Linked DNA regions of Macaca mulatta. The protein of the gene in region 1 purifies or fractionates together with the protein of each later gene. This does not show direct contact. Links are inferred from orthologs where the notes say so. Each region holds a gene or a part of one and is shown in the gene's direction. Other genes may lie near its edges.

Region 1 (4,252 bases):
TCCCTAGTTCATCTTCAGGTCACTGTCTGATTTTATTAGTTCTCAAATTTAAATCACTATGCATGCTCAGCTCTTCTAGTTATTTCCCTTCTTTTCTCATGCTGGGGGGAAAAAAAACCCGATTTATTCTAATTAACTGTGAGAAATGAAAGAGAACAAATCCTATCATTCCCTATTGTCTTGCGCAAATATGAAGAGAGAGATGATAGTGGGGTAAATAAAAGCAAAAGGGAATCCATTCGGCAGAATCTGTCTCCTCCCAGGCTGCTTGAAGTTAGATATTCTGAGATTCCAGTGGAGGAATGGTATGGTGAAAACATCGAGGTTCAACAAGGCTGAAATTTAGGTTATATTTTATTCAGATTCTACCATGTATAGTGTCTAAGATGAAACAACGCTGGGGAATGAAAAGGTTGTCGAAGATACAAGTTGCCTTTATTAAAGACAAATATTTAATAAAAATAATCACAATTCGCTTTCAAATCTGAAGAAAATACTGAGTTTTCCAGGCTACACATAAATAAAACTGCCAACGATGACAATTCCAGCAACTAGGAAAACAAGTACGCCTACAAAGAAAAGTGAGAAAATTCATGGAGAATTTGAACTCAGAACCAACTCCTCGGAGCTGATATTTTCTGGGGGAAGCCAGGGAACGCGCCGGGTTTCCTCAACCGCAAGGCCATGTTTAAGAGAGTCTGGAGGCCAGGTGCGGTGGCTCACGCCTGTAATCCCAGCACGTGGGGAGGCCAAGGCGGGCGGATCACGAGGTCAGGAAATCGAGACCATCCTGGCTAACACGGTGAAACCCCGTCTCCACTAAAAAATACAAAAAATTAGCCAGGCGTGGTGGCGGGCCCCTGTGGTCCCAGCTACTTGGGAGGCTGAGGCAGGAGAATGGCGTGAACCCGGGAGGCGGAGCTTGCAGTGAGCCGAGATGGCGCCACTGCACTCCAGCCTGGGCGACACAGCGAGACTCCGTCTAAAAAAAAAAACCAAAAAACAGAGAGTCTGGAAGCACAGAGCAAAATGGACATTCGAGGGCGAACAACTGCTGGCAAAGGGATAAGTGATCCGAAGCATTAAAGCCCTTGCGACAAATTCCGGCGCGAACGGCCAGGGGACACGAGACTCGCAGGAACAGCCCTCGAGCGAGCCGCGGACGGACGCGCACGCTGGAAACACGGTCACCTGCCACCGCCTAGCAGCTCCAGCCAAAATGGCGCCGCCGCTCTGCCCGCCCCGCGCGCGCGCCCTGTGGAGCGAGGACTCCGGGGACGCGCGCGTCCTCACCGCGGCTGCACGCCTGCGCGAGGGCGGGCGGCGGGGGCGCGCGCACGGCGGGGGCGGGCTTTGCCGAACGCAGAGCTGCAGCCGCCTAGCCGGACGTGTCTGCGAAGATGGCGGGCCGGGTGAGTGCCGGTCTGGGAGCCCAGGCTCGAGGCAGGGGCGCCGGGCTCGCGGGCACTCCGGGGTCCAGGAGGCCCCAGGGGAGTGGGAGTGAATCCGAGCAATGGGGCGCGAGGCCAGAGCGGGACTCGAGGGTAGCAGGGGAGCGGTGGCAGAGGATTAGCCCTCCTCAACAACTCCACCCCCCTCGAGGGGAGATGACCCCCTCGTTACCCGCGTCTGCTGCGCCTCAGGTCGTCCTCTCCCATTCCTTGGGGCTTGTTTCCCTTGTCCTCCACATAGCCGCAGGGTCGCGGTCGCCGAAGCCCCTTCTGACTGGCTCTGGGGGTCTTTCCGCACCCCCTTGCGAGGGCTTATTAGGGGGCGCCGGAGTAAGTGCCGGGAGCACGTCTACTGCATTCGGGGCGAGCGGTGTAGGAAGGATCATCAGGAACCCATGTCTGGCTCTTCACAAATTAAAGGTCGTTGGGAAAGAGGAGGGGGTGCCAATGACTTTTAGTGTTAGAGCCCTGCCATCTGGGGGACCTGTCAACTGTCAGGTCAGGCGGGAATTTGCTTTAGCTTGGAGTGAGGATGGATTTGGGCTGTCATGTTTTGTTTTTATGGATGACAGTCGCTTTCAATGCAGCAGGATATGCTGTAGTTTCAGGGTTTTAAATTTACTTCCTCCTTTAGGCTTTAGGGTTGCTGGGTAGGATGGATTTGGCGAGGAGAGATAGAGCTGCTTGAGTGCTGTATTGCAGTCTGCCTTGAGCTAAAAGCTCTAAAGGGATGAGTCCTGCCCAGAGATTACACTGGTTATAAACCTGAGGACATTAACTGCGTCACTGGGGGCGAAAGATGTGCTTGACTGATCTCTTTGTACCAGAATTTTTGAATAAGTTTGCATAGATTTATGCATATATGCAAAAGCCCTATCTAAAGGGACTTGTAGGTCATGAGATTCTAGAGTCAGAAGGGATCTTAAAGGTCATTTAGTTTGGCTTCTTTCTCTTCCTTTTCCCCGTGGTCTCTCCTTTTAAGGCTAGTCCTTCTACCAATACTTCAGACCCTATCTGTATATTCATCTACTCCTTCTTAATCAAGCTTCTTTATCTTAAAACAAACCCTTCCCCCACCCCCACAGCTGTCACCTTTTCCCTTCCCACTTTACAGCAGGAAATTTGATAGAGTTGTCTATATTTATTGTCTTCCATTTGCTTACCACCTACTCACCTCTCAACCTACTGCAGTCTGATTTCTGTCCCATCATCCCACTGAAACCTGTCCCTCAACTTAATTGAACTTTTCAATCCTTATTTGATGTCTCAGCAGCTTTTGACGTTGTTGACCATGGCCTCCTCGATGGAAAGCACTCTTTACATGTGTTCTTGGATGCCTAGCTCCTGGTTTGACTCAGACCTCTCTTTTGCGGACTCACTCTCCTCTACTTTGTTATTCATTGCTGGTATTTCTGCTCAGGCAATCTCTTCTAAGCCCATAGCTACAACTGTCTATATGGCAGTGATTCTCAATATTTTACCCCCAGTCCAGACTTGCCCTTTAAGTTTCAGGTTAATACGTCCAACAGCTTATTAAAATCAAGGCCCCTGAAACTCAGCTTTTTCAATTCCGAACCTAGGATCTTAGCCCACCTAACTTGTGTAGATGCTCCTCAACTTAACGATGGAGTTACCTTCTGATAAACCCATTGTAAGCTGAAAGTATCAGAAGTTGAAAATGCATTTAATACACCCCATCTACCGAATATCATAGCTTAGCCTAGCCTACCTTCCTTACACATCCCCAGAACACTTACATTAGCCTACAGTAGGGCAAAATCATCTAACATAAACCTATATTATAAAATGTTGAATACCTCATGTCATTTATTGCTGTGCTGATAGTGAAAAACAGAATGGTTGTGTAGGTCCTCAAAGTACAGTTTCTGTTGAATGCCTCTCACCTTTGCACTATTGTAAAGTTGAAAAATGTTAAGTGAAACCATTGTAAGTCAGGGACTGTCTGTACCTATTCAGTGAGATAGGAATATCTCACTGAATGATACCGTCATCCACCCAGTTATATAGGCTGGGAATCTGGGGGAGGGAGAGGGTGGGTAACCCTTGATATCTCTCCTCTGCCCTATCCATGTCCTCTGCCCTATACAAAGGTAAAATTTGGTAAAATTTGTCAGTTCTGCTCCTGCCCCCCATAAAGGTGTTTAATTAGGGTCTAAAGACTCTGGTTTGGGAGAATGATTGCTTTAAACTAGATCCAAATCACCCACTGGACTAGCTGGATTGGTCACATGGGTTCTGTCATTTTAACCCAAAAATCTCCTGTCTGTTCACCTTTCCACATCTTCATTTTTACCTCGTTTTCCCAGACTACCACCATTTCTGGTCTGGACTACTGCAGGAAGCTTCCAAGTAGTTTTTTTTGTTTTGTTTTGTTTTGTTTTGTTGTTTTTTTGGTTTTATTTTTGGGACGGAGTTTCGCTCTTGTCACCCAGCGTGGAGTGCAATGGCGCGATCTCGGCTCACTGCAACTTCCGTCTCCCAGGTTCAAGCCATTTTCCTACCTCAGCCTCCTGAGTAACTGGGATTACAGGTGCCCGCCATGACACCCGGCTAATTTTTGTGTTTTTAGTAGAGATGGGGTTTTACCATGTTGGCCAGACTGGTCTCAAACTCCTGACCTCAGGTGATCCACCTGCCTCGGCCTCCCAGAGTGCTGGGATTACAGGCCTGAGCCACCGTGCCCGGCCTCCCAAGTAGTCTTCTTAGAGCGTATGGCCCACCTCCGGTTCATTCTGGACACTGACATTGATTGTTCCTTCCCATGCCCATTACTACTTAAA
Region 2 (4,312 bases), on another chromosome or scaffold:
AATTAGCTGGGCGTGGTGGCGCACGCCTGTAGTCCCAACTACTTGGAGGCTGAGGTAGGAGGATCTCTTGAGCCCAGGAGAAGGAGGTTGCAGTGAGCGGAGATCATGCCACTGCACTCCAACCTGTGTGACAGAGCGAAACCCTGTCTCAAAAAAAATAAAATAAAATAAAGAAAAAACCCTAAGGCCATATACAGGCTCATTCACTTGGGGTCTCCTTTCACCCAGGCAAGCAGCTTTCCGTCTTTGCATTTTCCAAAGACTGCAAAGCAGGCTGGGGTGGGGTGGAGAACACAGGAAACAGCCAGTTCCCCTTCACTTCTCACCATCTTGATCTCCTCCCAAACCAAAATCCTATGTCTTTCCTTTTAACATACGCTTACAGAAATGCAGTCTTCTGTAGGAAAATTGAGGTCATGCATTCCAAAGTATTTAAGGGTATGATTTTTAAATTTTAGGAATCTAGTTCTCCAAGAAATCCCGGTTTGGGATATAGATGAACGAGCTATTTGGGAGAGATTTCGATGAGAATGAATTTTAGAGAAGTAGCAAGGTGAGGAGAGAGTCAGCTTAGCGTTTGGCTTTTGCAGTCAAACTTCAGCAAGGCGAAGTAACCTCGCTGGTCTTAATTTTCTCATCGGTAATAGGGAAAATAATAATGCTAACATTGATGAGTTACTTTACTTCAATATTTAAAAAACCGACTCTCCGCTATCTATTCTAATGATAAAAATGTAGACAGAGCATCGTCCCTTGCTGTGAAAAATCTTATGAACAAGTGAATTGCGGTGAGGATTCACACATAGTATGTGCTTAATAAACATTATTATTTTATTGTTTAGATTAGAAGAGGGGTGGAGGGAGAAATGAAAGCGGTTTGGAAACCCCAAATACTACCAAAACCCTGGGGACGGAAGTAGAGAGGAATTTCGGGTTACGATTTGGTTCCTGGTCTGAGTTTCAACGTTGAATACTCCCATATTTGGGCCTGAATTCTCAAAACAGAATAGGATGTAAGGGCTGAGATCATCTGGTACAGTTTTATGCAAATCGAAAATTCTTGCCTCTTGTCAATGTGCCCTGGCGAGAAACAACACCTCCACCCAAGCTCATCCAATCTCAGCCCCAACTAGGTGACGTCATCTCTCCGCCCCGCAACCCCCAAGCCCCAGGCAGTCCTGTCTCTAAGATACAGTCCCAGCCCCAGTCCCAGCGGCGCCTGCGCACTTTGAACAGGGGCGGGGAGGACGCGTGCGCGCTGCGTGGGGGCGGGACTAGTGCGCACGCAGCCTTAGCTTCTTCCCCGCCCTTGCTCTTCCCAGTTTCTCCGTCAGCCTGCGGGTCCCGGCTGGCGGCTGCTTCCGGTAGGAGAGTGGTGTAGGGCGAGCAGGTCTCAGCTCCTCATCATGTCATACGGTCCCTTAGATATGTACCGGAACCTGGGGCCCTCAGGGCCCCAGCTCCGGGACTTCAGCAGCATCATCCAGACGTGCAGCGGCAACATCCAGCGGATCAGCCAAGCCAGTGAGCCGGGGTACCGAGCTGGGGGGCGGGAGCTGTCCCCGGGACAGGCCTGGGTGAGACTGTCGGGTCGCGGAGCCCGGCTGGGACTACGGCCGAGGCCACACCTGGGGCTGTCTCGGGCTGTCCACCCTGGGGGCGGTGGGCTTGCCTCCCCCAGTCTGTCAGGCCCGGGCTGCCCGAGGGTCCCCGGCCCCAGCTGAAGCTTGAGCTGCTTCTCTGGAGTTCTGCCCCCACGGTTCTGGGACCAAAACAGCCCGAGGGTGGGAAGGGGAGTGTGTGTCATCTCGAGAGCTGTGAGTGCGTTGACTTGGCGCAGTGGTCAGCCGAGTTTCTCCTGTCATCCACCTTCCTCCCCACCCACCTCGCTTTCCTCTTAGGCCAGTTTGGATGGGGTTGTTTACTGATTTAGGCTTTAGGTTTACATTCTGCTCAGCCCCTGGCTCCTCGGAAATCAGCAACTTTCAATTAAGGGAAGTGGAGAGTGCATGTGTTTGGATGACTTCATACACAGTTCTTCCTGTAATGAATTCGGAAATCAGACACAATGACTGGTATTTGAGAGGTGGGATGACTTCTGTTTTAATAAAGATAATTCACCAGCAACATTTCAACTTACATTATTTTGTCTTTTGTAACAAAGCATTGGGGTGTATTTTTGGATTTCAGGCAGATGAGGCTTTTGTTTTCCTTCCCTACTTAGCTGCTCTTGAACAAATCTGGTACACAGGGAAGCTAAGAGACTTAGCCACAACCACAGAGCAAGTAATGCATGGTAGAGTTGTTGGTGGAATTCAGAATGGTATTGCTTGTCTTAAAACTCCCTCCTCCCCATTAGGGTCTGAGTGAAACTGTAGCTGAATGAGTCAAATACAGGGTGTTTCTTGGGCTTGAAAATCATCTTGGAGCCTTATAAACAGGAGATCAGCAACAGCTTTACTTGGAAAGAATGGTGGTCATCATCCTTATTGTTTATTATTGTGTTTTGTGAGCTTGGTGTACTCTGTTAATAGGTAGAACTAGTTAGTCCTGAATTACAATTCTGTATTTTAAATAATATCACTTTGCTTTAGTTTTTAAACTTTAAAAAATTTTTCTTTTTTGTAGAGATGAAGTCTTGCTGTGTTGGCCAGGCTGGTCTCAAACCCCTGGGCACAAGCACTTCTCCCACCTCAGCCTCCCAAAGTGCTGGGATTACAGGCGTGAGCCACTGTGCCCAGCCTAATTTTTTTAATTTAAAAAAATTAAATATTTTAAATTTGTTTTTAAGAGATGGAGTCTAGCTCTGTCACCCAGGCAGAGTGCAGTGATCTGAGTGAAGTAGAGCGATCCTAGCTGGCTATAACCTTGAATTCCTGATCAGCTTGCTGAGTCGCGAGGACTACAAGGATGCATCTACCATGCCAGGCTAATTTTTAAATTTTTTGTAGGGATGGGGTCTCACTATGTTGCCCAGGCTCACTTTGCTTTTAAATCTAAATGTATATTGTAGAATTTGAGAAGTTTCTGATCAAAAGCAGTTGAGACTCTGGAAGTGAAAGGAAGGGTATGTGACCTCTTAAAATCCAGAACTAAAAAAAAATAATATGACCACTGGTTAGAAAGTGTAGTACTTTTTGTTCCAGTTTCCTTTTGTGAAGGAGCTGTAATACAGGTTAGATCAGAAAATTCTAGTTCAAGGCTGAAATTTTCTTGTTGAAGCTAAATCTGATTTTAATATCTATTTGCAAAATATTCATTCAACTTGTATTCAATATTATATATATCATATATAATATTATATTTAATATATAATATAAACATGAAGATGGATAGATGGATACATGTTGAATGAATATTATATACATGCTGATATATATATATATATATATAAAACCAGAATACTCCCAAAGGTAGATCCAACATACATTTTAAAATTTACATTTAAATTTTTGTTTTGAGACAGGGTCTCACTCTGTCACCCAGGCTGGAGTGCAGTGGCATGATCTCAGCTCACTGCAGCCTCAGCTTCCCTGGCTCAAGCAGTCCTCCTGCCTCAGCCCTACAAGTAGCTGGGACTACAGGTGTGCACCACCATGCCCGGCTAATTTTTTTTTTTTTCTTTTGAGATGGAGTCTTGCTGTGTCGCCCAGGCTGGAGTGCAGTGGCACAATCTCCGCTCACTGCAAGCCCCGCCTCCTGGGTTCACACCATTCTCCTGCCTCAGCCTCCTGAGTAGCTGGGACTACAGGCGCCCACCACCACGCCCGGCTAATTTTTTTTTTTTTTTTTTTTTTTTTTTTTTTGAGACGGAGTCTCGCTCTGTCGCCCAGGCTGGAGTGCAGTGGCCGGTTCTCAGCTCACTGCACGCTCCGCCTCCCGGGTTTATGCCATTCTCCTGCCTCAGCCTCCCAAGTAGCTGGGAGACGGGGTTTCACCGTGTTAGCCAAGATGGTCTCGATCTCCTGACCTCGCGATCCGCCCGTCTCAGCCTCCCAAAGTGCTGGGATTACAGGCTTGAGCCACCGCGCCCGGCCAATTTTTTGTAGTTTTAGTGGAGACGGGGTTTCACCGTATTAGCCAGGATGGTCTCGATCTCCTGACCTCGTGATTCGCCTGCCTTGGCCTCCCAAAGTGCTGGGAATACAGGCATGAGCCACTGCGCCTGGCCCATGCCTGGCTAATTTTTATATTTTTTGTAGAGATGGAGTTTCACCATGTTGTCCAGGCTGGTCCTGAACTCCTGTTCTCAAGTGATCCACCCACCTTGGCCTCCCAATAGGCCAGGATTACACATGTGAGCCACCACGCC

What was found. The genes of interacting proteins can lie anywhere in the genome.
Region 2: the proteins of NSF (region 1) and STX12 purify together in Homo sapiens (co-immunoprecipitation; 4 studies listed by BioGRID and IntAct, with this or other methods). This does not show direct contact. The link is inferred for Macaca mulatta from reciprocal best matches to the Homo sapiens genes NSF and STX12.

The regions. Positions count from the first base shown.
Region 1 is NC_133421.1:70,502,984-70,507,235, reverse strand, and holds the start of NSF (vesicle-fusing ATPase), read left to right. Parts: upstream 1-1,358; 5' UTR 1,359-1,400; coding exon 1,401-1,412; intron 1,413-4,252.
Region 2 is NC_133406.1:213,166,864-213,171,175, reverse strand, and holds the start of STX12 (syntaxin-12), read left to right. Parts: upstream 1-1,392; 5' UTR 1,393-1,406; coding exon 1,407-1,524; intron 1,525-4,312. UniProt on the Homo sapiens protein: SNARE promoting fusion of transport vesicles with target membranes. Together with SNARE STX6, promotes movement of vesicles from endosomes to the cell membrane, and may therefore function in the endocytic recycling pathway.